4 linked regions of the Lonchura striata genome follow. The protein of the gene in region 3 purifies or fractionates together with the protein of the main gene of each other region. This does not show direct contact. Links are inferred from orthologs where the notes say so. Each region holds a gene or a part of one and is shown on either strand. Other genes may lie near its edges.

What was found.
Region 1: the proteins of CDK8 (region 3) and MED24 purify together in Homo sapiens (affinity purification with mass spectrometry; 13 studies listed by BioGRID and IntAct, counting the BioPlex papers as one, with this or other methods). This does not show direct contact. The link is inferred for Lonchura striata from reciprocal best matches to the Homo sapiens genes CDK8 and MED24.
Region 2: the proteins of CDK8 (region 3) and MED25 purify together in Homo sapiens (affinity purification with mass spectrometry; 8 studies listed by BioGRID and IntAct, counting the BioPlex papers as one, with this or other methods). This does not show direct contact. The link is inferred for Lonchura striata from reciprocal best matches to the Homo sapiens genes CDK8 and MED25.
Region 4: the proteins of CDK8 (region 3) and MED16 purify together in Homo sapiens (affinity purification with mass spectrometry; 10 studies listed by BioGRID and IntAct, counting the BioPlex papers as one, with this or other methods). This does not show direct contact. The link is inferred for Lonchura striata from reciprocal best matches to the Homo sapiens genes CDK8 and MED16.

What each region holds. Positions count from the first base shown.
Region 1 is NC_134627.1:7,031,981-7,039,166, reverse strand, and holds the start of MED24 (mediator of RNA polymerase II transcription subunit 24), read right to left. Parts: upstream 3,002-7,186; 5' UTR 2,737-3,001; coding exon 2,607-2,736; intron 378-2,606; coding exon 295-377; intron 1-294. UniProt on the Homo sapiens protein: Component of the Mediator complex, a coactivator involved in the regulated transcription of nearly all RNA polymerase II-dependent genes.
Region 2 is NC_134640.1:2,261,086-2,269,067, forward strand, and holds the start of MED25 (mediator of RNA polymerase II transcription subunit 25), read right to left. Parts: upstream 3,008-7,982; 5' UTR 2,951-3,007; intron 2,767-2,950; 5' UTR 2,742-2,766; coding exon 2,608-2,741; intron 459-2,607; coding exon 413-458; intron 1-412. UniProt on the Homo sapiens protein: Component of the Mediator complex, a coactivator involved in the regulated transcription of nearly all RNA polymerase II-dependent genes.
Region 3 is NC_134604.1:69,723,968-69,731,461, forward strand, and holds the start of CDK8 (cyclin-dependent kinase 8), read right to left. Parts: upstream 3,002-7,494; 5' UTR 2,939-3,001; coding exon 2,811-2,938; intron 1-2,810.
Region 4 is NC_134630.1:4,456,199-4,463,466, forward strand, and holds the start of MED16 (mediator of RNA polymerase II transcription subunit 16), read right to left. Parts: upstream 3,014-7,268; 5' UTR 2,994-3,013; intron 2,966-2,993; exon of another isoform or gene 2,857-2,965; intron 2,709-2,856; 5' UTR 2,621-2,708; coding exon 2,485-2,620; intron 2,142-2,484; coding exon 2,034-2,141; intron 1,775-2,033; coding exon 1,605-1,774; intron 1,101-1,604; coding exon 669-1,100; intron 1-668. Other genes in the region: R3HDM4 (R3H domain-containing protein 4), read right to left, coding at 4,389-4,492, 5,141-5,196, 5,506-5,591, 6,474-6,559, 6,950-7,073. UniProt on the Homo sapiens protein: Component of the Mediator complex, a coactivator involved in the regulated transcription of nearly all RNA polymerase II-dependent genes.

The sequences.
Region 1 (7,186 bases), on a different chromosome or scaffold from region 3:
AGGATGTGAAAGCGTGGCGCTCACAGCGAGCGCAGAGCCTCTCGGGGGGCAGAATTCCCACCCTGGGCGATGGCAGAGGCTATTTATGGAAACATCCCTGCCCAGGGCACGCGCTGAGCCCTCCACTGCCTGCCCCAGCCCCAGAGAGGCTCAGATGGCGGTTTGGGGTATCTGCCCAGCCCAGGAGAGGCTCACATGGGAGATGTGGGGTGCCTGCCCACCACCAACACCCCAGTTGCTTTGCCCAACCTCACCGAGGCTGCAAGGTGAGCAGCAGCACCAGCAGGTCCTTACCTGGGAGCTGATGGCGTATTTCAGGTAGGATAAGATGAGTGGGTTTGGGGATGGCCCAATCATGGCCTGCTCCAGGAGAGCCTCTGCAAGGAAAGAGGGTCCCAGGTCAGCACATGGGGAACACACGGACACAATCTGCTCTCCCCTCATTCCACAGGGAAGCTGGCAAAGTCCAACTGTACCAACCACAGTGACTCCACACCAGTTTTTCTCCTAAATTCATTGAATCCCACAACTTCCTAATCCCTGACGGGCACAAGCCAGTGAATAATTCAGGCAGAGCTCGCAGCCTCCTGCTAACACAGCTCTTCAGCGCTCCAGCCCTGAAATTTCTGCTGCTGCTCTCCACATTCCCCTCCCTCCCAGTTCTTGCCAGGAGGCTCCTGCAGCCTCCACTGAGTGTCTTTTGCCCAGGCACCTGGGGCTGAGCTTGGGGCCACCAGTCCCCTGCACTGGGCGCAGCCCTGCCCGTCTGGCCCTCGGTGGCCTGAGGGGCTCTGCCCGTCCCATCTGCTCAGCCAAGCCTTTAATTGTCCATTTGAGCCATGGCAGAGTGCAGGAAGCACCACCCCGAGCAGGCCCCGGGCTGCAGCACAGGCTGCAAGTAGGTCAGAGCACCCAGATGTGAAAGGGGGAGCAGCAGCCGGGTGGGAAGTTGTCACCCCAAAGCCGAGGAGGAGAAGCCACCACCGGATCCCGAGTGCAGGAGAAGGAGACTCCCTGGGTCTCGCTCCAAGGCTGAATCCTGGGCCAAGAGCGTCTGGGATGAGGACAGAAGGCTGGTGGCAGCCGTCCCCTCCCCAGCCCATCCCAGAGTGCCACCACGAGCCAGCCACATGCTGCTCCCTGCTGCAGACGTGTCAGCAGCGATCTGCCAGGCCCTGCCGTGATCCTGGCAGCTCGTGCCAGCTTTCCCTCCTTTGTACTTCCAAGCTGAAAGGGGCACGAGCTCGGGAAAGGACAGCTCTGGGGGCTGTGGTGAGGAAGGGAGCTGCTGGTCCAGCCATTGGGACCTCGGGAATGGGCTCTCCCTGTGTGCACACAATACCCAGGGTCACGGCCAGCACCCTGCCCGCGTGGCTCCCAAAAGGAAAAGGGGATACAGCTCCTTCTCCTCCTGCTCCAAAGAAGCCACTGAGCCTTGGGTAAATGTGAGCCAGGAGAAACCCATTCCTGCAGAAATAATAGGGAATTATCCTCCCTGCGTCTGTTTTTGGGGATACACAGACGAGCCCAAGCCAAGTACCCCGCAGGCCTCACTGCCAGAGGAGCAGGAGCCAGTGCCACCAGGGTGGGAACAGACACCTGGGAGCCTCAGGGACCAGCTGGGCAGCAGCAGGACTGGCCCTCAAGCCAACCACCCCCACCCCCAGCAAATCCATGCAGAGCAAATCCATCCCCCCACGGCCACAGCTCCATTTGGCCCCTCCAGCCGCACCTCAGAGCTGACAAACCCAGCAGGGACAGCTCAGCAGTGACAAAAAACAGACACTGACAGAAAATCCAATGAGAGGATGAAGAGAAGGGAAAAACATGCACAGGGGAAAGTTCCCCACACTCAGAGGAGTGAGAGCTGCTGCCTGTGTGGGGCTGGTTCCTTTAAACTCCCTGGAGCAGCAGCTCTGTTTATTTATCCCGGGACTTGCTGCACAGGGAAAATCCCAGCACCAAGTTTCTATAATTAGCAAGAGAGCCTGGCAAATCTTTAAACCAGTCCTAGCTTTTGGCAGGATTTCTGTGAAATGCCCTTGAATTGGGCTGGGAAGCAGCCTTGGGAGCAGCACCTGGCTCCTGTGCAGTGCTCGAATCACGAAATCGGGGAATCATTAAGGCTGGAAAGACCTCCAAGAGCATCTCACCATAACCCAAGTGCCCTGGAGCCACATCCACATGGCAACTCCACCACAGCCTGTTCCAACGCCTAACCACCCTTTCAGTGAAGAAATTTCTCCTAATTTCCAACATAATTCTCTCCTGGCTCAACTCAAAGCTGTTTCTCTCGGTCCCAAAAGCTACGCTGTGCTGACCCCTGAACCCTCCCATGGGGGAAAAGGAGGGAATGATCCCAAAACGGGGACAGCGGGGTGGGGGGGGACAGTTGGGAATGGACTGACATGGTTGGGAATGGGAATTTTGGCGTGAAAAGTGGTGTGGGAAGTGGGGACCCAAAATGCGACAAGGGACCCCATAATACCCCTGCCTGCACCCCAAAGAGGGGAACACTGGGGACAACACCCAAATAAACGCGTGAGGACCCCCAAAACATCCCAGTGTGCCCAGTAAGGAGGGGGAACCCCCCGCCTCCCCCCGACCTGCCAAGTTGAGGATGTCCCAGGTGGCTCCGCGGGGGAAGAACCGCTTCATGTTTATGGCCCATTGATAGTCGCTCCAGCGCTCCTTCCAGGCCTGCAGGATGGCCTGCTTCAGGTTCACCACCTTCATGGTCACCCCGCGGCCCGACAGCTCAAGGCGAAGGGGGACGGAGCCCTGACCCGGCCGGGCAGGGCCGGACAGAGCGGGGAAGCGGCCCAGCGGCTTCGGAGGGCAGCAGCTGGGGGTCTGCCCGCTCCCCGGCCCTGAGGAGCCCCTCGGAGCAGCCCCGGAACCCCTCGGAGCCCCCGAAGTTCGGTGCCCGGGGGTCCCGCCGGGTCCCGCCGCCCCTCAGCGCGGCCCGGCGCCGCCCTCAGCGCTTGGGCACCGCCATTGCGGCGCCTGCCAACAAGCCGCACGCTGATTGGGCGGCGGGGCGCGGCGGGCGCAGGGGGTGATGGGAGTGGTAGTTCGGGGGGCTAGGGCGGGCGGGGGCGGGAGTGAGTGTGCAAAGGGTGGGTGGGAACGGGGGGCGAGTGTGCAAACGCCGAGGTGAGAGTGCAAACACCGTGTGGGTGAGCAAACGGGGGAGGGTGGGCTAACACGGGGTGTGTGTGTGGAAACATGGGGTGAGTGTGAAAATCGGGAAATGGGATTTGACATGCAAACACCAGAGGTGAGTGTGCAAATAGGGTGTGTGTGCAAACACGGGGTGAGAATGGGGGGTTGAAAACACGGGAGTGGGCAAATAGGGGCGGGTGTGCAAATAGCAGGGGTGTGGAAAGGTGGGGGGGTACAAACACGGGGGGAAGGATACGTGTGAAAATGAGGAGTTGTGCAAAGACAGGGTGAGTGTAAGAACAGGGGATGTACAAACGGGGTAAGTGTAAGAACAGGGGATGTACAAACGGGGTAAGTGTAAAAACAAGGGATGTGCAAAAATGGTGCAAAGGCGTGAGTGTGCAAAGGCTCTGGGGTGGCAGCACGGATCTCCCAGCATGTTTCTCTGTGCGTTTGTGCAGGTGTGCACACAGGACAGTGTGTGTGCACGTGTGTACACACAGATGTACAGATGTTCACACACGCACACACATGAGCACAGGTGTGCACACCAGTGTGTGAGCACAGAGGTGTGCCCGCGTGCGTGTGCAACCACAGGCGTGCACTGAGGACTGCGTGTGACACAGGCGGGTGTGTTCACACGTGTGGATGCACATGAGTGTGTGCGGTGTGTGTCTGTGTGTGTTGTTGCACACACGCGCAGACACCAGCACCCCCGGGCGGGTGTGCACGCACAGGTACCAGCGCAGGGGTGGGCACACACGCGTGTGCAAGGCCGTGTGCTGCAGACACGTGTGTGCACACACGTGGCGCCGCCATGGGCCTGGGCTGCCCCCCACCCCCTCCCTGCAGTACCAGCAGCTAAAAATATCCCCAGGGATGGTGCCAGCCGTCGCCATGGCAACGGGAGGATGGGGAGCAAGGCTGGGGGGCAGCCCCCCAGAACTGACAGCCCCCCCCAGTACTCCCAGCGCACCAACCCTCCCAGAATGCCCCCAATAGCCCCCCAGCACCCCTCCTGCAACCCAAACACCCCCAGGCCTCTGCACCCCTAGAACACTCCCAGCCCCCCCAAAACCCTCAGTACCCCCAGAATTCCCCAAGGGAACCCCCAAGGCTCAGGAGCAGGGTGAAGACCTCCAGGGGGGCTGGGGTGGGAGCTCAGTCACACCCCCCCCCCCCTCCGCGCTGCTCCGGGGGGGTTTCGCGGCCCCTTAATTCCCCGGTTAATCATTCATGGGGCCGGGGCGCAGCAAATCCCCCCGTGCCGGGGCCGGGATTAAGCGGGCCAGCGGCTGCCCGGGCGGCGAGGGGCCCCGGCGGCGGGGGGGACACCCCGGCAGCGGGGGGGTCCCGCCGGGGGGGAGCCCTATCCATGAGGAGGGATTTCCTGTGCAAGGGGGGGGTCGCTTCCCACAGCTGGCCGTGGAACAGACACCACGGGGGTCTCCAGGCAGGAGGGGCTCTGAGGAGCCCTGCTGGACCCCCCCAACCCCGGCACAGCACCCCCAAACTCCGGGGCAGGGGTGGTGGTGGTGGTGCTGGCAGGGTCGGGGGTGGCAGGGGGTGCTCGGGGGGTCGCAGCTCCCCGGGGTGCCGCGGGGGCGGCCGGCTGGGGGGAAGGCGTCGAAGCCTCGGCGCCTTGGCAGGGAGCCCCGGCACAGCTGCCTCCGGCCCGGGGCCGGGGGGGCCGGAAGGGGCTGGGGCCGTTCCCAGCGCCGGGGGCAAGCGAGGGGCGAGCGGGGGCCAGCGTGAGGGGCTTCCCCTTCCCACGGGGTCAGTGGGGTGGCTGGGAGCTCTGGTGCCGCGTCCTGCCGGGGGGCACATGGCTGCTGACTGGTGTTTGGTGGGGTGTGAAGGATCTGATCCGGGATAGAGGGACACCCCCATGGGGCCGTCCGGACCCCCCAGTTGGTGGTGGGTGCTGCCCCATGGGGGTAGCCAGTGCTGGGGATGGAGGTGCCTGGTGTCATCACCTTCTTGGGGGTCCTGGGGGGCACCACTGGTGACTTGGGGCTATATTTAGTGTTTCTGCCACAGAGCAGCGGGGTGAACTTTAATGAGCGTGTTCCAGCCAACTAGAGCAGCACAGCCCCTCTAAATCCCAAATCCCCTCAGATCAGGGTCTGCCACAGGGCACAAGGTCCCCACTCTACTGGGGCAGTGCAGAGACCTGTGGTGGCACTGGGGGAACCTCAGTGGGGACGGGGAGCTGGTGATGAGCGCGAGAAGCGCCTGTCTGTGTGCTCCAGAGAGGCCACAGGCAAACTCCAGCTCTGCCTCAGTTTCCCCAATGGGATAGAGGCTGTCAGGCAACCTCAAGCAGGGGGATCTGGGGACATGAGGTGGTGTTGAGATGGCTGAGCCCCATAGGCTGGGGGCAGGCGAGCTCAGCCACAGCCTTATCGCGGGCAGACGGCTGCGGGGGGCCGTGGCCGAGCCGTGTTTGCTGAGGATAAAGTGTACGGAACAGGCGGGGAGGGACGGGGGGGCCGTCACGCTGCTGCTGCCCCGCCACGCTGGGACCGCCAGCCGTGCGGATGAGGGCCCCAGGGTGACCCGGGGGGCCAGGGGATCGATGGGGGCTATGGGGACCACCGGCCTGTGGGGACCGGGGGCAGCAGGAGGTCCATGGGTTCTGTGGCAGTCCCAGGTGTCGCTCTCCTCCATCCGCTGGGTACCCCCATCCCCTGGCGACCACCTTCCCCTGGGGACTCGCATTACCTGGGGACCACCATCCCCTGGAGATCCCCGGGTAGCACTGCCCCCTTGTTGTCCCCATTCTGAGCAGCACCGTGCCCTGACAGCCGCTGGCCCGTGGGGACCCCCCCCTCACCTTCCCTGGGTGTTGCCTGCGCTCCCCAAGTGTGGGAAACCATCCCCTGGGTACACCCCTCCCAAGGAAACCTTCATCCCTTGGAGACCCTCCTCTCCTAGAAGCCTTCATGCCCGGGAGACCCCCATCCCCCTCATCCCCTGGGTATCACCGCACCGCCCGTGCAGCCCAGGGAGGGGGGTACCCAGGGGGCTGGGGGGTGGGGGGCGGCCAGACTGAACCCCCCGGGGGTCCCAGGGCCGAGCTGCGGGGCTCCGGGCGGGGATGAGGGGGGCGGCAGAGCCGCTTTAAGCCCGGGCATGACGGGACGTGTAGTCCGGGGAGGAAAAGGGGGGGCTGGGAGCACGGGCTGCTGGGAAGGGGGTGGGGTGGCACGGCCGGGTCGGTGGGCGACCCTCAGCGCCCTCCCCAGTGATCCCCCCCGGGCTCCCGGTGCCGCCGCCATCCCCAGCCCCACGGCGGCTCCGGGTCCGGCCCCACAGCGGGGTACGACCCCCGTTGTTCCCCGTCCCACACATCCCCCGGGGGGCGCAGGGGCAGGGCCCCCCGACGTGCGGGTGTCCTGCGGGATTGTCTCCTGCCCGGGGCGGTGTGGATCTGAGGGGGACCCCCGTGTCTGGTGTGTGCCCCTCCCCGGGCCGGGCTGGGCATCCGGGGTGTGGAGCTGCCCCTTGCCTCGTGGGCACTGTCACCAAGCCCCATGGGGACTGTCCCAGATCTCCTTGAGCATCATCTCCACCCCACCGCCACCCAGCGAGGGCACCGTCCCAGCCCTTCCTGGGTGCTGTCCCCAAATCCTGTAGGGTCACTGTCACTATCACAGCATCGCCGTGGGCACCGTCCCCAGCTCCCTGCGGGTGCCGTGCCCTGCCCTCGTGGACACCAGGTTGTCACTGTCACAGCATCCCCGTGGGTGCTGTTCCCAGTGCCTGTGGGTACCATCCCCGCCCTGCCACGGGCATCCCCCTGGGCCTCCCTGGGCACCGTCTCCGGTCCCCCTTCGGTACAGCCCGCCACGCGGTGGTCGCCATCCCCCGTCCCTGTTGTCACTGTCACGACATCCCCGTGAGCACCGTCCCAAACTCCTGTGGGCACCAGCTTCACCCCACCACGAGCACCGCCCCAGGATCCCGGGGCCCCAAACTCCCGTGGGCACTGTCCCCACCTCCCCGTGGGTGCCGTCCC
Region 2 (7,982 bases), on a different chromosome or scaffold from region 3:
GCTAATTAAAATTGGAATTAATTAAAATATACAACCACCAAGTTGTATTGGGGGCCCCCACTTTGGTTAATTAAATATTAATTAAATTATATTCAATTAAATGTTATAAAATAGGCACCAGGCTGTACTGGGTGCCCCCAAACTGATTAATAAACATGTTAATTAGCTAGTTAAAATGGGAATTAATTAAAGTACATAAAATAAAAGAAAAAGAGAATAAAACAAAATAAAATAAAGAAAACAAAATAAACACAATACAACGTAATACAAGACAACAAAATAAATTAAATTAAATTTTTAAAAAATTAAATCAATAAATAAAATAAAATAGAAAATAAAATAAATTACGATAAGAATAAATAAAATAAAACCAATAAAATTAATTAAATCAATTAATTTAATTCCCACTCACGTCTCCGCCGAAGTCGGTCTCCGCGGGGGGGCCCCCATTGAAATACCTGGGGGGGCAAAGAGAATTTGGGGAGATTTTGGGAATTTTTGGGAATTTTGGGAATTTTTGGGGTCCTGAAGGGTTTTGGGGTGATTTGGGGAATTTTTGGGGAATTTTTGGGGAATTTTTGGGGGAATTTGGGGAATTTTTGGGGGAATTTTGGGGGAATTTTTGGGGAATTTTTTGGGGAATTTTTGGGGAATTTTTGGGGAATTTTTGGAGGAATTTTTGGGGGAATTTTGGAGGAATTTTTGGAAATTGTGGGAAATTTTGGGAATTTTTTGGAGGATTTGGGGAATTTTGGGGAATTTTGGGAATTTTTGGGGTCCTGAAGGGTTTTGGGGTGATTTTGGGAATTTTTGGGGAATTTTTGGGGAATTTTTGGGGAATTTTTGGGGGAATTTGGGGAATTTTTGGGGGATTTTTAGGGAATTTTTGGGGGAATTTTGGAGGAATTTTTTGGGGGGATTTTGGGAATTTTGGGGGGGTTTTGGGGAATTTTTGGGGGTCCTGGGGAAATTTAGGGGAGTTTTTGGATTTTTTGGGGAGATTTTGGGGATTTTTGGGGAAATTTTGGGAATTTTGGGGAATCCTGGGGTAATTTAGGGGAAATTTGAGAATTTTGGGGGGTCCTGGAGGGGTTTTGGGGGAATTTTGGAAATTTTTTGGGGGTTTTGGGGAAATTTGGGGGTTTTGGGAATTTTTGGGGGAATTTGGGGAAGGGTCCCAATTATTAACATGCTAATTAACACGCTAATTAACACGCTAATGAGCCTGACATAATGGAGACACAGGCAATGCTTGGGGCAGGATCCCATTAATTAAATTATAACTGGTTCCCTTTAATTAAATTATAACGGGTTCCTTTTAATTAATTTGAGACGAGGGCTCATTAATCTATTAGAGGAGGGGTCTCTCTAATAAATTATCTCATTAATTAGCTAATTAATCAGCTAATTAACATGCTAATTAGCCCTCACTCAATGGCACAGACAGGAAATTCTTGGGGCAGGATCCCCTTTAATTAATTTATAACGGGTTCCCTTTAATTAATTTGAGGTGGGGCCTCATTAATAATTTAGGGAGAGGTTCCTTTAATAAATTATCATATTAATGAGCTAATTAATCAGCTAATTAACATGTTAATTAGCTGTCACCCAATGGCACAGCCAGCCAATGCTTGGGGCAGGATCCCATGAATTAATTTATACTGGCTTCCCTTTAATTAAATTATAACGGGTTCCCTTTAATTAATTTGAGATGGGACCTCATTAACCATTTAGGGGAAGGGTCTCTCTAATTAATTACCTCATTAATCAGCTAATTAACATGCTAATGAGCTGTCACTCAATGGCACAGACAGGCAATGCTTGGGGCAGGATCCCATTCATTACTTTATAACGGGGTTCCCTTTAATTAAATTATAACGGGTTCCCTTTAATTAATTTGAGATGGGACCTCATTAATCTATTAGGGGAGGGGTCCCTCTAATTAGTTAGCTAATTAACACGCTAATTAGCTGTCACTCAATGGCACAGACAGCCAATGCTTGGGGCAGGATCCCATTAATTACTTTATACCGGGTTCCCTTTAATTCTTTTGGGGCAGGGCCTCAATTATCTATATGGGGAGGGGTCTCATTAACTAATTAGCTAATGAATATGTTAATGAGGCTGACTCGATGGCGGACAGCAGGTAGTGCTTGGGGCAGGATCCCCATTAATTTATGATGGGTTCCCATTAATTAATGACAGGTTCCCTTGAATTAATTTGAGGCGGGGCCTCATTAATCATTATGGGGAGGGGTCCCTCTAATTAATTAGCTAATTAAATCGCTAATTAACTCTCACTCAATGGCACAGACAGGCAATGCTTGGGGCAGGCTCCCATTAATTACTTTATAGCGGGGTTCCCTTTAATTCTTTTGGGGCGGGGCCTCAATTATCTATATGGGGAGGGTTCTCATTAATTAATTAGCTAATGAATATGTTAATGAGGCTGACTCGATGGCGGGCAGCAGGTAGTGCTTGGGGCAGGATCCCATTAATTACTTTACACCGGGTTCCCTTTAATTCTTTTGGGGCGGGGCCTCATTTATCTATTAGGGGGAGGGCCCCGCTAATTAACTAGCTAATGAATATGTTAATGAGGCTGACTCGATGGCGGGCAGCAGGTAGTGCTTGCGCAGAGCCTCGAAGTAGGGCCCGAGGTTGGCGGTGCCCTCGATGACGAAAACCACGTCGGCCACCAGGGCGGGGGGGGCGGGGCCTTCCAGCGCGGGCACGACCATGGCGGCCCGCGGGGGGGGCCGGCTCCTGCGGGGGGGAAACAACAACGCCGTGACTCCCCGGAACCGAGCCCGAAGCGGCGACTCGCCCGCAGCTCCCCCCTCAACCCCGCCCGGCATTCTCACGGGGTTGGCGGTGCCGCAATTTGGGTTTTTAATTAACTTCCCCCCTCCCGGTTCCCCCCCCCCCCACAACTCCCCGGGGTCGGTACCGGCGGCGGCGCGCGGAGAGGAGGAAGGGGTTTTCCTTCGCGTCCGCGCCGGGCGGCGGCGCATGCGCGGAAAGGAGGGACGCGGGCGTTGCGCCTGCCTCAGCCAATCAGCGTGGAGGAAAGGAGACACGCCCCTTCCGCATTGCTATAGTAACGACTCATCGACCAATGGAATTGAAGAGGATAATAAGGAAGCCACGCCCCTTCCGCATTGCTATAGTAACGACTCATCGGCCAATCGCGTTGCAGAATAAGCCACGCCTTTTCCGCCATTGCGACTCATGGACCAATCGCGTTGCAGGGGAAGCCACGCCCCTTCCCGCCGTTGCGACTCATGGACCAATCGCGTTGTAGGGGAAGCCACGCCCCTTCCGCCGTTGCGCGGCAACCGCGGCGCTCCCGGCGTGCCCCGCGCGGGAAATGGCGGCGAGTGGCGCCAACTGAGCGGGGAGCGCGCGCGGGCAGGGAGGGGGCGGGGCCAAGGAAGGGGCGGGGCTTGAGAGGAAAGGGGGCGTGGTTTGTGGGAAAAGGGGCGTGGTTTGGAAGGAAGGGGCGGGGTTTGGGAGAAAAGGGGCGGGGTTTAGAATCAGGAGGCGTGGCTTTAGAGCCAAGGGGCGTGGCTTGACTGATAAGGGGCGGGGTTTGAAGCGAAGGGGCGTGGCTTAAGAGCAAAGGGGCGTGGTTTGAAGCGAAGGGGTGTGGCTTAGGATCAAAGGGGCGTGGCTTAAGAGACAAGGGGCGGGGTTTATATCCAATGGGCGTGGCTTAAGAGCAAAGGGCGTGGCTTGAGATCAAAGGGGTGTGGTTTAAAAGCAAGGGGGCGTGGCTTAAGAGCAAAGGGGGCGGGGTTTACCCTAAAGGGGCGTGGCTTAAATGCAAAGAGGCGTGGCTTGATATCAAAGGGGCGGGACTTGATAGTAAAGGGGCGTGGCTTAATAGCAAAAGGGCGGGGCTTATAAGCAAAGGGGCGGGGTTACTAGCAAATGGGCGTGGCTTAAGAGCAAAAGGGGCGTGGTTTGAGAGTAAAGGGCGTGGCTTAAAGCAAAGGGTTGTGGCTTAAGAGCAAAGGGGTGGGGTTTAATATCAAAGGGCGAGGCTTAAGGACAAATGGGCGTGGCTGAAGTCGAGGGGCGGGTTTATTAGTAAAGGGGCGTGGCTTATGAGCAAGGGGCGGGGTTTGTAGGCAAGAGGCGGGGTTTAAGAGGGAGTGGCCATTACAAGGGGGCGTGGCTTAGCTCGAAAAGGGGCGTGTCCCGCACGAGTGGGCGTGGCCATGTCCGGCGAGGAGGGCGGGGCCTTCCTGGTGGGCGTGGCCACGGCCAGCGGCCTCCCCCTGTTCTGCCGCCCGCCCCGCCCCCAGGTGAGGCCACGCCCCCCCCTCCCCTCCCCTCCCCCTTTTTTCGGGAGGTGACCTTTGACCCCCGCAGGTGCCGTTCCCATTGGTCGGGGCCCTGCACGGGGCGTGGCTCTTCGGGGCGGCCGCGGGGGCGGAGCTGCGGGAGGCGGCCACGCCCACGGCCCGGCTGGGCTGGGCCGGACAGCCGGACAGGTCAGGGGGCACCCAGGGGTCACTGGGGGGGTCACGGGGTCAGCTGGGGGTCACGGGGTCACGGGGTCAGGGATGGGGTCATGGGGGGTCACGGGGTCACGGGGTCAGGGATTGGGTCATGGGGTCAGGGTGGGGAGCACGGGGGGGTCACGGGGTCATGGGGTCAGGGAGGGGTCACAGGAAGGTCACGGGGTCTTGGGAGGGGTCACAGGGTCATGGGTGGGTCACGGTCGGGTCATGGGGTCAGGGAGGGGTCACAGGGGGTCATGGGGTTAGGGAGGGGTCACAGGGTCACGGGGGGTCACAGGGTTATGGGAGGTGACACAGGGTCAGGGAGGGGTCACAGGGTCACACAGGGTCATGGGTGGGCTGCGGTCAGGTCACGGGGTCAGGGAGGGGTCATGGGGGGTCACGGGGTCACTCAAGGGTCATGGCGGGTCATGGGGTCAGGGAGGGGTCACAGGGGGTCATGGGGTCAGGGAGAGGTCACTCAGGGGTCACTCAGGGGTCGTCCCCCCCCAGCCTGACCCTGATTGGGCTCAGCTTTGGCCCCGCCCCCGCCCAGATCCTCGACTCCGCCTTCGGCGCCTTGGTGAGAGCCTGCCCAGTATAAACCAGTATAGACCAGTATAAACCAGTATAGACCAGTCCCTCCCGGTCCCTCCCAGTTTGTCCCAGTCCCTCCCAGTTTGTCCCAGTTCCCTCCCAGTCCCTCCCAGTCTGTCCCAGTCCATCCCAGTCCCCCCCAGTCCCTCCCAGTTTGTCACAGTTTGTCCCAGTTCCCTCCCAGTCTCTCCCAGTCCCTCCCAGTCCCTCCCAGTTTCTCCCAGTCCATCCCAGTTTGTCCCAGTCCATCCCAGTCCCTCCCAGTCCCTCCCAGTTTGTCCCAGTTTGTCCCAGTCCATCCCAGTTTCCAGGTGCTGCTGCTGGGCCGGGAGCAGCTGCTGCCGGTGCGGAACGAGGAGAGGCTGAAACGGGAGCTGAGGGTGAGACTGGGACAGACTGGGACAAACTGGGAGGGACTGGGATAAACTGGAATAAACTGGGATGGACTGGGATGGGGAACTGGGTGGGACTGGGAGCTACTGGGAGCACTGGAAATGGGGCTGGGACAGACTGGGGGGCACTGGGAGTTACTGGGAGGAACTGGGAGGGACCGGGATAAACTGGTTTGGACTGGGAGCAATGGAAAGGGTAACTGGGAGCACTGGGAGCACTGGGAGGGCCAACTGGGACTTACTGGGAGTTACTGGGAGTTACTGGGAGGGCTCTGAGGCATTTTTGGGGGTCCTGGGGTGACCCCGCCCCCAGTTTTAGCTCCTCCTCCATTTCTGTCCTGTCTCCCCTGATTGGCCCCGCCCCTTTCCTGGCCACGCCTTCTTTCCTGACCCCGCCCCTTTTCCGGCCCCGCCCCCAGGGCTGTTTCCCGCTCCTGGATTGGCTGCTGAGCCCCGGGGGGGGGATGGGCGCCCCCTGCTGGCCCCTCCCCCCCGGCCCCGACCGTGACACGCTGGAGGTGAGGGACCCCAAAAACCCACAAATCACCCCAAAAAAACCCAAAATCGACCCAAAAACCCCTTCAAATCATCCCAAAAAAAACCCCAAAATCACCCCAAAAAACCCCAAAATCACACCCAAAAATACCCCCAAAAATACCCCAAATCAGCCCAAAAATCACCCCAAAAAGAACCCCCCAAATCACCCCAAAATCATTCCAAAAAATACCCAAAAGCACCCCGAAATCACACCCAAAATCACCCCAAAATCACCCCAAAAAAACCCCCCAAATTATCCAAAAATCACCCAATTTGGGGATTGGCCCCAAGATTTTGCATGCCGCTCCCTGATTCGCGCGCCCTGATTTGCATACCGCTCCCTGTTTCGCGCGCCCCGCTCCCTGATTTGCATGCCGCTCCCTGATTGGCGCCCCGCGCCCTAATTTGCATACCGTTCCCTGATTCGCGTTTCCCTTCCTGATCTGCATGCCGCCCCCTGATTGGCGCAGCCCCTCCGATCTGCATGCCGCTCCCTGATTCGCTTGTCCCGCTCCCTTATTTGCATACCGCCCCCTTAGTTGCATGCCACTCCCTGATTGGCGCGCCGCGCGCCTTGATTTGCATGCCGCTCCCTGTTTCGCGCGCCCCGCGCCCTGATTTGCATGCCGCTCCCTGATTCGCGTGTCCGCCCCTGATCTGCATGCCGCCCCCTGATTGGTGCACCCCGCGGCTTGATTTCCGTGCCGCTCCTTGATTTGCATACCGCCCCTTATTTGCATGCCGCCCCCTGACTGGCGCGACGCGCGTCCTGATTTGCATGCCGCCCCCTGATTGGCGCGTCCCGCGCCCTGATTTGCATTCCGCCCCATGATTGGCGCGCCGCGTGCCCTGATCTGCATGCCACTCCCTGTTTCTCGCGCCCCGCGCCCTGATTTGCATGCCGCTCCCTGATTGGCGCGCCCTGCGCCCTGATTTGCATGCCACTCCCTGTTTCGCGCGCCCCGCCCCCTGAGCTGCATGCCGCCCCCTGATTGGCGCGCCCCGCGGCCTGATTTGCATGCCCCTCCCTGTTTCGCGCGCCCCGCCCCCTGAGCTGCATGCCACCCCCTGATTGGCGCGCCGCGCGCCCTTATTTGCATGCTCCTCCCTGTTTCGCGCGCCCTGCGCCCTGATTTGCATGCCGCCCCCTGATTTGCGCGCCCCGCGCCCTGATTTGCATGCCGCTCCCTGATTGGCGCGCCGCGCGCCCTGATTTGCATGCTCCTCCCTGTTTCGCGCGCCCTGCGCCCTGATTTGCATGCCGCTCCCTGATTGGCGCGCCGCGCGCCCTGATTTGCATGCTCCTCCCTGTTTCGCGCGCCCTGCGCCCTGATTTGCATGACGCCCCATGATTGGCGCGCCGCGTGCCCTGATCTGCATGCCGCCCCCTGATTGGCGCGCCGCGCGCCCTGATTTGCATGCCGCCCCCTAACTGGCGCGACGCGCGGCCTTATTTGCATTTCGCCCCCTGATTCGCGCGCCGCGCGCCCTGATTTGCATGCCCCGCCCCCTGACTGGCGCGCCGCGCGCCCGGATTTGCATTCCGCCCCCTGATTGGCGCGCCGCGCGCCTTGATTTGCATGCCGCTCCCTGTTTGGCGCGCCCCGCGCCCTGATTTGCATGCCGCCCCCTGATTGGCGCGACGCGCGCCCTGATTTGCATGCCGCCCCCTGATTGGCGCGCCGCGCGCCCTGATCTGCATGCCGCTCCCTGATTGGCGCGTTCCGCGCCCTGATTTGCATGCCACTCCGTGTTTCGCGCGCCCTGCGCCCTGATTTGCATGCTGCTCCCTGATTGGCTCGCCGCGCGCCCTGATTTGCATGCTGCTCCCTGATTGGCTCGCCGCGCGCCCTGATCTGCATGCCGCTCCCTGATTGGCGCGCCGCGCGCCCTGATTTGCATGCCACTCCCTGTTTCGCGCGCCCTGCGCCCTGATTTGCATGACGCC
Region 3 (7,494 bases):
TCATGGCAGAGGGCACCGCAGGGCTGGACTGGCTTTTATCTTGGAGCAAGGCATGAAAGAAACCCGGGTTACACTCCCATCTGGTCACCAGCACACATACTACAGCACATCTCTCCTGCATTAGAAGGATTCTCACTCCATCAAGATTCCTGAAAGACTGTCCTCCAGAATATTCCTGTGTAGTTCAAGTGATGCAACTAACTTCCTAGGACTAGGATACAGAGCTGCTATCTAGTTTTCAATTGCCTTACAGCACCTCAGAGACAGCTGTAAAACCTGGAAAGCAGTAAAATAAAAAAAAAAAATGGAGGCAAAGACTGCAGTTGTACTACAGACACTGCTCCTGGTATTCTTGAACTGGGTTTTATCACCAAAGGCCTTAGAAGATACATTTGCACGAACTGAGCTACTAAAATTTAGTTATTTTCGTGATCCTTCTACCTCTTAGTCATCCATAGTAGAAAACTTCATTTAAGAAAAAGCTGCACCAATACTGTTAACAAAATATTTGCAGTCCTGCAGGCCACTCTTCAAAGTACTCTAAAAATTACCATGCATATCTTAGAAGATTTGTGTTATTTAAATTAAGAATTAGAATCATGTAGCAAAGTTTAAAGAATGCTTGTAATTTTAAGGGAAATATAAAAAAGAAAGTTTGAGTTCTATAGACTATAGAAGCAACTAAAAAAATGATTGATCCATCACTACTTAGTATTTGGGGAATACTAAAACAATGCAAGAGTACTTTTTGAATATATGCATGTACTAATAAACAAATACTGAACTCTGTTGCAGGTACCCCCCACCACAGGACATAACATCCATTCATCTATTACTACAGCTTCAGGAACATTAAATGTCATTATTTGCTTCTATGCTTTAACTGATTCCCTCTGGATAAAAGCATGTAAACAAAACCTTCAACTTTAATCCTAATTCCACCCTTGTAATTTAAGATCACATATGTACAAATGTATCACAAGCTACAAAACCATCTATGGATGCTTCTATTTTACATATTTTAGTGACTATCCAAGGGCAATTACACAGGTTATTTAAAAGAAGAAGTTTTCAGAAAGCAGAAAGGCAAATGGGAAGCATTACAGAAAGGGATGGGAAGCAAGGCACTAAATGAACAACAAAGCAAAGAAAAAAGGAGACAATATATATTGCTTATCTTTTTTTCCCCACAAATTTTAATAAAATACCATACCTTGATTTCCCCACTCACCAACAAGAGTGAAGATTTAAAAACATATACATCCTACTGTAAAACCACCTTTGAGCAACTATCAATTTTTAAAGCAAATAATTCAAATTTTTCCTGAAATTTCTCAGAACAGCACTACCACCAGCATTTTTAAACACTCTCTCCCAAACAACATCAAGCAGACGGATGATTTCACCAGAAATGCTTCAGCAGTATGACATGCTGAATTCCCTACACCTTACTGCAGTCCAACATGCTGAACAGCTGCAAAGCTGCCTGACATAAACATCAGAAACGTAGCCGTATCTTTCAGTACCTCGACTTATTTTTCATATTACAGATCTCGGTATGGGCATAGAAACCAGGGCTAGCTGTATCAGCAGCGTTGGTACCTGCATATAAAGAGACTTGAGGCAACAGCCCATCACACTTACAACTGGTTTTTATTTCCTTTTGCCCTCCCAGAATAGAAAGGAAAAATTCTTATTTTGCCCAAATTCTATGAATGGCTGGAGGGATCTAAATATAAAAGTTCTGCAAAAAAAGCAGTTACCTGACTCCTACCATCAAACAAACTTCAGGCTAAAGTAACTGTGCTGCAATTAATATCAGCATATTTAAGACAGAGACGAGACAACACAAGGTGCAACCATTTTCATTACAGCTGTTCCCTAGGTAATAGCCAGAGCATTTCCTTCTAGAACCAAAAGCTTATGTAAACATAACCAGATCATATTTTGGCCATGACTGACCACTGCCTGCTTTAAAAGTTTATTTATCCGATGTAAAAATAATAGCCAGAATTTTAAAATGCACCTTATCTGAAAGACAGTATAAGGAGCACCACTGCAGTGAGACTTTAAGAGAAAGACTAGATGCAATTCAAAATTTAGGACCTGCTACAGGAACAACCCGTGCCTCTCCCGTTTCTCCTCTCCCTACTTCCTATTGTTCCGCTGTTCAGCAAGTGATGCCATGTCACGGAAGAGGGAAACCTAAATGACACTTTCATTAGGTCTTTCTTCAAAATGTTTATACCAGTAAATTAATTTACTCAGGTCTGTAACAAGAACTGGTCATACACAAAAGGTGGTTTAAAGCATTCTAAAGCCCCAAAAGCACGAGCAGACTTTGGCTTCTGAAGCAGCCAGCAAGACGACCCAAAATGGTGACTACAAGTAATAAATCATATTTTTTAAAAAGGCATTGTTAAAAACAACAACAACAAAAAACCAGTTATATGAAGCCGATGATCAGGCTGAACAGTATAAGCGGCCACTGATATACTCATAACGAGAATCCATGAAGGGAACGGTTTCCCTCGGGCACGAAATTTGTTTCTGCAAGCCCAGCCGCTACCGAAACACGACTCCGGTACAGCGCCGCGGGGCTGGCGACGCTCGCAGTCACCCAGGGGGAACCAGGCGCCGGCCGGCCGGGCTAGCGCGGGGCTCAGCGGGCGGGATCAGGCGGGCCCGGAGGAAGGACGGCACTAAGCGGGGAGCGGCGGGGAGGCAGCCGAGCCTGTGGGGCAGAAGGCGGCCGGGGGAAGGAGGGCGCGGGCGGGCCGGGGTCCCGCGCCGCTCGCTCGCTCACTCACCCGTCCTTGCGCTTGGCTTTGTAGACGTGTCCGTAGGTGCCCCTGCCCACCTTGCAGCCCTCGTACTCGAAGAGGTCCTCCACCCGCTCGCGCTCCCCGGTCAGCTTCACCTTGAAGTCATAGTCCATCTTGGGCGCCCGCCGCGATCCGCCGCCGCCCCCGGCAGCCGCGCCCCGCCCCGCCGCACACACCGGGCGGCGGCAGCAGCAGCAGCAGGAGGAGGAAAAGGAGGAGGAGGAGGCCCCCGCGCCGCCCCGCGGAACATCCAGCGGCGGGGCTGCTCCCTTCGCTCCGAGCCGCAGCCCCCGGCGCTTCCTCCCTCCCTCCGTCCCTCCCTTCGCCCCACGCCAGGAGCGGCTCCGCCGCCGGTCCCGGGCGCGCTCTCGGGGCCGCGCCCGCGCGCGCTGCCGCAAACGGACGTCGCAAACCGCGGGCACCTCCCCGGCCGCGGGCAGCGCACCACGTGGAATGGGCCGTCCCGGCGTGCCTTGCGGGCGCAGGCGCACGCCGGGAGGTGTAGTACGGGCGGAGGGAGGCCGGGCGGGCCGCGCTGCGCTGCATGCCGGGAGCTGTAGTTCGTGGGCAGGGCACGAGGAGCGCGGGGCCGCCATCAGCAGCCACGGCGAGCAGCGCTCGGTCCCTTCCCGGGTCCTTGGCTGCGGTGAATATTCCAGTCCCCGGCTCGACCCAGGCGGGCGAGGGCAGACGCGGTTGGTTCCTGCTGCTCTGAGCATCTCTTAGCACCACTATAATTAAGACAATTCCACGACCGTGAACATGGACAAAGTCAGATAAGCACAGAACACTTTCAGTTGGAAGGGATCCTTTAGGTTCATCGAGTCCAGCTCCTGGCCCTGCACAGGGCCATCCTCAAGAGTCACACCATGGACCTGGGAGAGTTCTCTAAGCACTTCTTGAGCTCCGTCAGGCTGGTGCTGTGACACTTCCCTGGGGAGCCTGTGCCAGTGCCCAAACACTCTCTGAGTGAAGAACCGTTTCCTAATGTCCAACCCAAACCTCCTCTAACACAACTTCAGGCCATTCCTTCGGGTGCTGTCACTGGTCACCACAGAGAAGAGACTGGTGCTTGGTCCCCTTTCTTCCTCCATGAGGAAGTTGCAGACTACATTAAGGCCTCCCCTCAGTCTCCTCTGCTCCAGGCTGAACAGACCAAGTAATCTCAGCTGTTCCTTCACCAACTTGGTTGCTTTGCTTTGGACACTTTCTAATAGCTTAATGTCTTTCTTATATTGTGGTGTCCCAGGCTGCTCACAGCAGTCAAGACACAGATGGGTGTCACAGTGCTGACAAACCTCTGTGGCTGCTGAGATCAGTCCGGATATTATACAAAAACTGTTGTGTTTAGCAAGGGCCTTGTATGTCACCAGTAACTGGGCATTTCCCAATTTCTCTCCATGGCTGTCACAGTCACCCATCCAATACAAAGTCAGCCAGTAATCTTGTAGAACAAGCATCTTGGAACTAAACTAAAGCGACAACAATCTTTCTCATTACAGCCCAGCTTTTGGCATTTTTCACAGTCATGCACAAATGTTCCACGTTTCATGTCAAGAATGCAGCACATTGAGTAAACAAGTGGGCACTCAAATCCCCTAACTTAGAGACATCACACAACATGAGGGCTCCTGAAAGAAGTAACAACATATTCTGGAATCTTGTGAAATCATCTCAGTTTTCAAATACAAATCTCAATTTTCATTTACACATTAGCACTAATCCCTGAAAATTGGATAGGATTGTGCCTGCTTCCCGAGCTGGCATCACTCAATCAGACTCATGTCAGATGCCCACAGTTGGACTTGCAGTATGTTCCTATGTAGCTGTTAGGGATATTATGTATGTTGAATAAAGCAATTAGGCAAACTCTACAAAAAATAAGTGTAACTGAGAGAAGCAACAAAATTACACTTTATTTGCCCAGCAACTCAACTAAATTTTACAAAAACATTGCCCAGCACCTCACTACACCAACCAAACAAACAGGTCAAGGCAGCCTAGCACAGATCAAACAATCTGGAAGATACCGTCCACCTCACAAAGTTCATCTGTCTCAGCCCCATCTCTGCTTTCAGGGACTGCTTGGCTTTGGGGATTTTCAAGGACAATAAAGACCAAGCCTGCATGGCCAAACCTACCATGTACAGTACCTCTGGCCTGCTCACTACCCTCAGTCCTATCAGCAGGGGAGGTAGCAATAACCACATTTTGGAACTCTGTACTCTTCTTTGCATTATTAATCTTTTTTTTGTGGAGGCATTGAACATCCAAACTCCTGCACATGGATCCAGTTACTGCATGGTAATTAATGGTTGGGATTAGTCCTGAGCTGAAACATTGCAGGATGTGGAAGACAAAAAATGTCTGCTTAGAAAGGAAAGAGATCATGAAGGAAAGCATGAAAAGACAATCCAGATTCATTTTCTGATGACCTGTGCTATGTTTCACATTTGCATAAAACATTTGGAAAGATTTCCAGACTTTGACAAACTCTAAGAAGTCAAAACCACACTGAGATACCCTCTTTCCCAGATTGTCGATCCTTATGTAAAAATGTTTACAAAATTGCTTGAATGTTTCTTTCCTTAGTTTTACATAGCATTTGAATTGTATGCCTTCCAGAACGAGTATAGCTGTAAATCTACTGCATCTTTGCTCTGTTTCCACTTCAGGTATTGAAACCAATGTTTGATTTTACCACGTCAGACGTCTCCAACTAAAGAGAGATTTGAAATAGAAAGCACACATTGGCTCTTTTTATGAGAAATAAATATTGACATTTTAAGGTCAACTTTAAACTCTGTTTCATGGAAAGTTGTATTCTTTTTGTGCTTCATTTTAAAAATTTGTCACAGTGTAATGTAATTTCAAGGAAGAGTTTAATTTAAGGTCCGCTCTTCAAAAGACAGACAAAACCAGGATCTGGTATTCTTTGACTCTCAGATCTCCATCCCCACAGAGGCCTTTTCAATTGATAGGATTTATCTCTTACTGCCTGTTTTTCATTCCCTTCTCTCATGCTCTCTCAGGACTGAGTTTAAAAAAATATGCTTAACACATCCTGCTGAAGTTGGAATTTTAGAGCTTTCCTCTTTCTCTTTTTTCCTCTAACAACATTCATGGTTTGCTTTATCATATCCTTCTGTTCTGAGTTTGTGTAATTTCTAATATGTCCAGAACACACATGCTTTTGACATTTTTTTGTTTGTCACCATCACACCTGTGAAGGATGTCTGAGTTCTCTGCAGGAAAGCCACTGTTACCGTATTAGCACAGGTAACATGCAGTGGGTTGGAGGCAGTTACCAAAGTCAGCTGTGACCAGAACGGACAGTAGTCAAGGAAGGCTGACACCATTAAACATTTCTGAATGTATTTCAGGGAATTGTCTTTCAGGTGAAAGCCTGGGTTGTCTGGGAACAGAATGGATTGTGACAATAAGTAAATCCTGTCACTTGGGGTATGGGAGTGTGGAAGAGGTTTTACAGTGACTTCTCTGAGCCAGAGAGAAGTTTGATAAGAGGATCCTTGAAAGAATTTCCTACCAAGGTCGTTGACATAGAAACCAAGAAAGAAAGGATAAATAAAAGAAACATGCAACTGTCGATTCCAATAAGCACTTTTTTTGTCTTTTCTGACCAATGAGTAAAGTGTAAACTTATGAGTTTTGTAAGAATGTATAAAAAGCATGCATACTATAATAAAAACAAGCTTGAAGCCTCCTGAAAATGGAGTGTTGCTTTGTTTTGTGACCATCTCAACTATGACATGGGAGTATCAATACTGAAAAAGATGGTTTTGGGAGGGGTGTGTGTTTGTGTGCTTGTGGCCACAGTGTTAGTGCTAGAGTCAAAGCCTGTGAAGCAAAGCTTATCTCTGAGAAATGTACAACAAGTTACTTGCTCTTTGTTTTGAAGTCTTCAAAAATAGAATAAAAATACAGAAAAGTAAACTTTAATATTTTAAACTTCAATATTTAGAAGTAAACTTTAATATTTTTGCTTTCTCATCTTTGTATTTTATAAACAGATAACCTACAACACTCAGTCACATCCCCATGCCATTAAAGTGTCTGCTCATTCCACTTATTAATTTGCGAAATCTGAACATACTTTTGCGTTTCAGAAAACTTTTCATGAAACTGTAGCTGCCTGCTAAAAGTTTCCCACATCCCCACAGAGGCATTCTTTAGTGGTGTGACTGAGGTGTTCCCAGCTTGGTATTGACTGAAAAAGTGCAGTCCTGCTAAGTGCTATACATCTTCCATGAAAAAGTGCAGTCCTGCTAAGTGCTATACATCTTCCATTTTTTGTTTAGTCCAGGGAAAGCTGAAGGCAAGACAATAACGTGGTGGCACTTTTTCCTTTTCTGTATGTAAAGAAAAACTGTAATATTTGCACAGTCTGATTATTTTTCAGAAACCTTGCAGGTTTTATGTGCAGATGAGTAAGCTGAATATTGGCAGCACTTAAAAACACAGATTATTTAATGCAGATAAGTGCTGATTTTACAAACAGTTTCCTGTTTGTGAAAAATGTGCAATGTGTTAAGGTTTGGGTTTTTATTATTATTATTATTTTCCCCTCAACTATATTTTACTATAAAATTGATCTAACAAAGCATCCTAGATTCTGGCTGGAGTGCAAGTTGCTAACAAACATACATCA
Region 4 (7,268 bases), on a different chromosome or scaffold from region 3:
AGGTTTATTGGAGAATTCAGGGATGCCCAAGCCTCGTGCTCTCAGGCGTAGCACGTGGCTGGGCTTAGGAGGACGGGGGAGGGGAGAGAGAAACGGAGGGTTTAGGAGAGGGGAAGCCCCAGGGAGAGAGGAAGTCCAAGAGGGGAGGAGAGGGCCAAGAGGCCGCATGGCCGCTCAGAGCCCCCTTATTAGGGGCTCCCAGGTGGGCTGGGACAAGGTATGGGCCAATGGGGTTACAGACTCTGTTTTAGGGGCAGGTACAGAGGTGCGGGATGAACCACAATTTTTTGCAGGGTGGGATGGAACAGTCCATTTCACTCCAGGATTCATCCAAGGGTAGAAGTGACATCCGGCTAGCTAAAATAACAATCATATCTATCTATCCTCTGCAACAGGCTGGAACAAGACTTGGGCCAATGGGGTTACAGACACCTGATGTTTTAGGGGAGGGTTACAGGTGTGGGGTGAACCGTACATTTTGGGGGGTGAGATGGAACAGTCCACTTGACCCCTGGACCCATCTGTAGGCAGGGACATTGTCCGGCTAGCAGGGAGGACCGTTCTCATCTTGGCTGTATTATTTATGAATAATTACATTTATCTATCCAACAGCTGGCCACCCCAGACCCTGTGAGGAAGACCAGGTGGAGCAGAGAGCAGCTTCCCACCTGCTCTGACATGTCCCGAGCCAGGAACTTCAGGTGGGTGATGGCCGGGTACTTGTCCTTGCGCGCGGGGTCGGTGGTGCAGCGCATGAAGAGGGAGGGCAGGATCTCGGTGTCGATCTTGCACTTCTCGTTCACCACGCTGACACACACCTTGTAGAACTGCACGGGGGACGTGCTGCTGCCGTCGGACGTGGCCACCACGATGTTGCCCCCGCCCGTGAAGGCGACGTCGGCCAAGGCCACGCGGCAGCGCAGGCGGCACAGGCTCTCGGTGGCCGTCAGCACCTGCCCGTTGGGCTTGAGGAGGGACACGGTGACCAGCCCGCTGATGGTCACAGCAATCCAGCCCTCCATGGGCTTCCCCCCAAACAGCGTCAGCGACGGGGAGAATTTCACCCGCGAGAACTTCTCGCCGAAGTTCGAGGCTCCGGACTGTAACAAAGGTCAGCAAAACCAAAGTGTTTGCGGCCAAAATTTGTGCCTGCGGGGCTCTTCTCGAGGGACAGGGGCAGGATTTATGTGGGACATCCCCAACACAAGCAGGGAACTTGTGCTCGGCAGCTTTGGGCTTTCAGAGTCTGCAGGATCACACATGAGGAGCTGAGGTCTGTGCACAAATGCCCAGATCAAACCTCAGCACTCCATATGCATTTTCTCTGAATCACCACAGGTGAGGAAAGAACTGCTCTATCTCCGTGTTCCTGCCTAGAAATGAGGTACCAAACTAGGAGAGACACACCTGAAACACCAAAAGAAACAAGGCTCCAACCCCCCTCAGAACTCAGCAGGAACCAGGAATCTGACTTCTCTCTGACTGCAAAAATTCCCCAAGGCCACAAGAGAGCCCAGAGCACGGAACACAGGCAGGATCCTGAGTTCTCTGCCAAGACCTGAGCCAGAGCTCCAGCCCAGATCCCCCACGGAGCTGAGACAAACCTTCTCCACGTGCAGAGCCAGCTTGACGCCGTTGTGCAGCCAGGACAGGGCCACCACCGGGTCCCCCTCCACCACGCTGCCCACCGTGTTCTCCCAGCTGTTGGCCAGGTGATCTGTCATGCCCCAGCACTTGATGTGGCCATCAGCATCTGCTGAGAGCAGCCTGGAGCCTGTGACAGTGACACTGCATGAGAATGGGGGAGAATGGACAAAACCCCACAAGGAATTACAGCCTGTGACAGTGACACTGCATGAGAATGGGGGAACAGAGAAAACCCCACAAGGAATTGCAGCCTGGAGCCTGTGACAGTGACACTGCATGAGAATGGGGGAAACAGCCAAAACCCCACAAGGAATCACAGCCCACCCCTTGGGGACATACACAGCAGGGGTGGGACACGGTGCCAATGTGGAGGGAGCCCAGCCCACCTGACTGATCCCACTCCAAACAGGTGATGACTTCGGTGTGGCCCGAGTTCACAGAGTAGACATCCCAGGGGTGCTCGGTGTCGATGATATGGACCATGTGGGTGAGATCTGTGTGAACAGAGAAGTGACTCCCTGTGCCTTGGCACTGCTCCTGAGCCTCAGCTGGTGCAGGGAAAATATAAAATATTTTATAGAAATCATTTGGGGCAGGGTAGCAACTCTGCTGGGAGCTCAGTGAGGAGCCAGCATGGTGTAGATTTGGGAAGTCGGTGCTGGTTTAGAGGAAACAAACGCGTGTGAGACGCTGCCAGAGGCTGAGGGATAGAAGGAAAAGGAGGAGCAGCAGCCCGGAACTGCCCGGGGCAGGGCAGAGCTGCGGCCCGGCGGATCCTGGCCTCTCCCGGGAGCACCGGGAGCTGCCAGCAGGGATTTCCCGAGGGGCTCCCGGTACCTTTCTCCTCTTCATTGCGGAGGTCCGTGGTGAAGGCGATGAGGTTGCGGCAGGACCAGGCGCACACCAGCGGGATGGAGGGGCAGTGGTTGCTTTTGGGCTTCTTCTCCCACTCGCACACGTAGGCCAGATCCATCCCACCGGGACACGGTACACCGGACACGGTACACCGGACACGGTACACTGGACACGGGATACTGGACACGGGACAGCCTCGGTCCTGCCTGGGGGCGACACAAGGCCGGTCACACACAGGGAATCCCAACCTCAGGGGCCATGGGGGGGGGCACAGCCCTGGGGACACGGGTGGGAACAGCCCCGCACCGGGACAAACCGCGGCGGTCCCGGGGGGAGCGGCCCGCGGGTACCGACCGTACGGCGGGCAGGAGGATCGTCCCCCCTCGCCGGGGACGGTCCCGGAGGTTCCGGGGGGTCGCGGGGAGGCCGCGGGAGGCTCCCGGCCCGTTCCCGGCCCGTTCCCGGTCCGTTCCCGGTCCCGCCGCCCTCACCGGCGCCCGCCGCTCTGCAGGACCCCGGCCCGCCCGCGGGCTGCCCGGCCCGCGCCTGCGCCGCGCGCTCAGGCACTGCCACAGACACCCCCGCAGAGAGAGCCATCCAGCAGGGTATAATTACCATAACAAACTACCCACAATGCATCGGGCAGAGATAGCAAACATAACCGGCGAATTTCGGACAATTTGGGGAAAATCCAAGAAAATAACAGAGAAAAAAACTGAGAAACACTTGGGAAGCTCATTCCGCGTCTAATATTGGGCCGCACCTCATTCACCCTATCATGACAATATTATTTCTGTGAGTCTTTAAATAGCGCTGCGGGTGCAGGGCAGTTCGTGCTCGCTTCGGCAGCACATATACTAAAATTGGAACGATACAGAGAAGATTAGCATGGCCCCTGCGCAAGGATGACACGCAAATTCGTGAAGCGTTCCATATTTTTCGCACCTCCCCGCACCCACATTTTCCATCCCGTGCCCCACCAGCTGCTCCGCCACCCCCCAAAAACCTCCCTCCTCCCCCTCCCCACATGGAGACACAGAGCCGGAGTAGGGGAGCACCGTTTTTATTGTTTCTGAACGCCACACCAGCCAAGGAGGAGCGAGGGGCGCCCCTGGCTCTGGGGGTGCCCACGAGGGGTTCCCCAGGCTCTGGGGGTGCCCACGGTTAATGGCAGTCGGTGTCATCATGCTGGGGCAAAGCAGCCAGCAAAGATCCCCAGGGCACGCCCTGCCCCGAGCAAACCTTGGCACATGCCACGAAGCCGGGGGGCACACAGAGAGACCCCCAGAATGCCCCCATCTGCCCCCATGGCAGCTGTGGAAAAGCAGAGAGAGCCCCGAAAGGGGCTGCACCCCTCCAACACGCACGCACGCACGCACACACACACACACACACATGTAAATATACACACACGTGATAAAAAACACACAAGCTATATTACACTTAAAAACAGCCCCGTGGGGTGGGCAGGGCACAGGGCGTGGGGTAAAAAGCATCCGGAGCTCCCCACGCCCCGAGCCCCCCGGGACACCCGGTGGGCACGGGGCTGCGGGAACGCGGCAGCCCCGGGGCTCTTCCGCCGGCTCAGCGATTGCTCAGCAGCCGCCGGGAGCTGTTTCACCGCAGAAAAATCTGGACCGAAATCACCCCACGAGCGTCAGCGCCACAGCGAGGCTCGGCCCTGCCTGATTCTTTTTTAAAAACACCTGGGTTATATAAATAGACACACCGACAGTTCCAGGAGGGATGCGCGGGGAGCCGGGGCGGGCCAGGGGCTCCTGCCCCGCACCCGCGGCCAGCACAGGCACAAACCCCCGGCTCTGCCCCGCCGAGGCTCCGGGAGAGGCTGCAGAGGACACAGGAGGGGCAGGGCAGCTGTGGGGGCATCAGCTCATCTGCCCCAGGTAGTCCGAGAGCAGCAGCTCCGGGGGCAGGAACACGCGGTGCTTGTTGCTCACTTTCATCTGACGTTTCCCTTCGATGTCCGAACCTGCGGGTGGGACGGAGCGCTCAGCACATCCCTCCTCCCCACCTCGGGGGTCTCCAACAGGCGCTCCCAGCCACAGCCCTCCCCTTTTCCCCCTGGGGCTCGTGGTGAGATTTCTGTCCCCTGTTTTCTGTCCCCTGCCGGCACCACGGGCTCGCTCGCCATCATTAGAGCTCAGGCTGATGGCCACAAGCGGCTCCGAATGAAACGCTCGGCAGCAGAGCCTCCTCCGGAGGGATGGATGCCTTCCCTGCCTTGGCAACAAAACCTCTGGGGGTGCCCAGGGCAGTACGAGAGCGCGGCTGCTCCTCGGGAGGAGGAAGCAGCTGCAGGAGAGGGAACCCGGCGAGCAGATTCCTGCTCTGGAGCACCCAAATTTCCCGTCAGAGCTGGGTCCCGGCGAGCCCCGGGTGTGCGGCTGCCCGCAGCGCTGGTGACACGGCCGGGGCTGCCCAGGGAGCTCCGGGCACTGGTGGGGAGGGAGCAGGCAGGGGAGGGACCGCGGGGTTATCTGCGAGCCCCAGGGCGAGGTGGGACCGGCAGGAGGAAGGGAGGAAAAGGCAGAGCTGGAGAGGAGAGATAGTGATGGAGGGAAGGGGGAAAAAAACAACAACAAAATCAAAATCGACCAAGCGGACACGCGGCTCTTACTGGCAGAGACGAGATCCATGTACTGGCAGAGCGCGTGGAGCAGGAGCCGCTCAAAGCTGGGGGACAGGGGACAGGGTTAGAGCCTGAGCAGTGTGTCCCACAGGCTGCCCTGCCCTCCATCCTCCCAGGGACACAAAGGGGAGCACAAAGTGCCACGAAGCCCTGCGCAGGCATCCCCAGGTGCCTCCCTCCCCCAGGGGCTCCACGGGGACCAGGCCAGGTGGGTGTCCCCAGGTGGAGAGCCAGGCCTGGCTGAGGGGAGGCTGAGGGGTGTCCTGTGCTCCCAAAGCCCCTCTGCAGGCTGGGGCAGCCCTGGGGCAGCCCTGGGGCATGGGGAAGCCCAGCACCCCGAGATGGGGGAATACCTGTTATCCATCAGTGCTGTGTAGACAGAGTGCGGGGTGACAGAGAAGAAGGCCAGCAGCTCCTCCTCCAGCCCCTCCAGCGTCCCCTGTGAGGAGAGGCAGGGGCTCAGCGAGGAGGGGACAGTGCTGGGCACAGCCCTGGCACAACTGATTCCCCAAGACTTGCTGCCAGCAGCTCCCGGGCAAGTTATCTGGACGGGAGACAGCAGGGAGAGGAGACATCTCCCATCTCCAGCCCCTGAGGCAGGGAAGGATCCAGCTCCTGCCAACTCCACACTGTGTGTGCCAAGGGCTGGCACCATCCCTCGTGCTCACAGCAGCCAGGGGAGCCCCGTGCCTCCCAACAGTCAAAGCTCAGTGCTCTGCTGCTCTGCGGAGCTCTGTGACCCCAGAGATGAGCAGCACACGCGTCTCATTGGAAGACAAACAAGCCAGTGGGCAGGAGGAGCCCAGGCTGCATTTAGAAGCTCTAATTAGCACAAGGCAAACAAACAGAGCCCCACAGAGCAGAGGGAGCAGGGAGCCAGCACCCCCAGGACTGGTAGAGCAAGTGTCTGGGCAGGCAGTGCAGGGCTGCACTCACCTCTCTCCTTCCTGCTCAGCAGTTGGTGCACTTTTACCCCCTTTCAAAACACTCTGGAGTTCCCCCAAATAACCTTGTGTGGGCCACTGTGAAGACCCTAAAGGCTCCACTGCTGTCCCCATGCACAAACACGCCTGGTTTCACCTGTCACCTGCTGTCATTGCACAAAGACTGAGAAACTACCACTAAAAAAAAAGCCCTGTAACTACCAGAAAAATCTGAACCGAGCCAGGAAACCCCACGTGCCGGGAGCTGGGTGTCTCTGCAAGCAGCCCCAGCGCGTTCCCAGGAGCTCCTCTGAAATCCTCTGCACAGGGTCAGGGCACAGCTCTGGGGACAGGGACCCCTGGCAGCCCCAGCTCTGCTGCCCCAGCCTCCAGCTCACCATGGGGATCCTGCCCCTCTTCAGGGTGGCACGCAGGCGGCGGCTGATGCGCTGGAAGCACTCCTGGGGCGTGTAGGCAGGCAGCTCTGGACAAGGGAGAAGGGATTTGGACACAGCTCACAGCTCCAGAGCCCACAGTGTCACTTTTTGGGAGGACCCAGTGTCCCCCCCCGCCCCGTGCCCCCTTCACAAACAGCAATGCTCTCCCCAGCACAGGAGGGTCGGGGTGCAGAGATTTGGGGGTGTGACATTAAGGGATGGCTGCTGTGCCATCATCCCAGCCACTCCTGGCTCCCACAAACCCTCCCTGGTCCATGGTGGGGGTCTGCAGGCAAACCCCCACCCTGTCACACACAGGGGGTGGGCTCAGGCATCCCCCAGCCCCACCATTAACAGGGAGTGGGTGCAGCCCTCCCAGAATGTACACAAGGAAGGAAAGGGAGAGGCTGTCCCCACCCTGCGTCCCCTCCCAGCACCTTTCCACTTCTCTTCATCCTTGACAGGCAGCTTCCTCCTCTGCTTCTTCCTGGCCTCCTCCTCCAGGTAGAGCAGGACCCGCTCCTGCTCTTCTCCCGACCGGTTCATGAAGTCGTTCCAGATCTGACAACAGAAAACACCAAGCCCCACTGCAGAGGTCTGTGGGGTGCAGCTGGCAGTGCAGGGCCACCCCCACACCCCTGAGCCCCCTCCTCACCCTCTTGTCCTCAGGGATGGCCCGAGTGCCACACCAGGGAGAGGCCACGTTTCAAAACACCCGGTTACAGGGCCAGCATGAGGCAACAGGGCTTTGGCAAG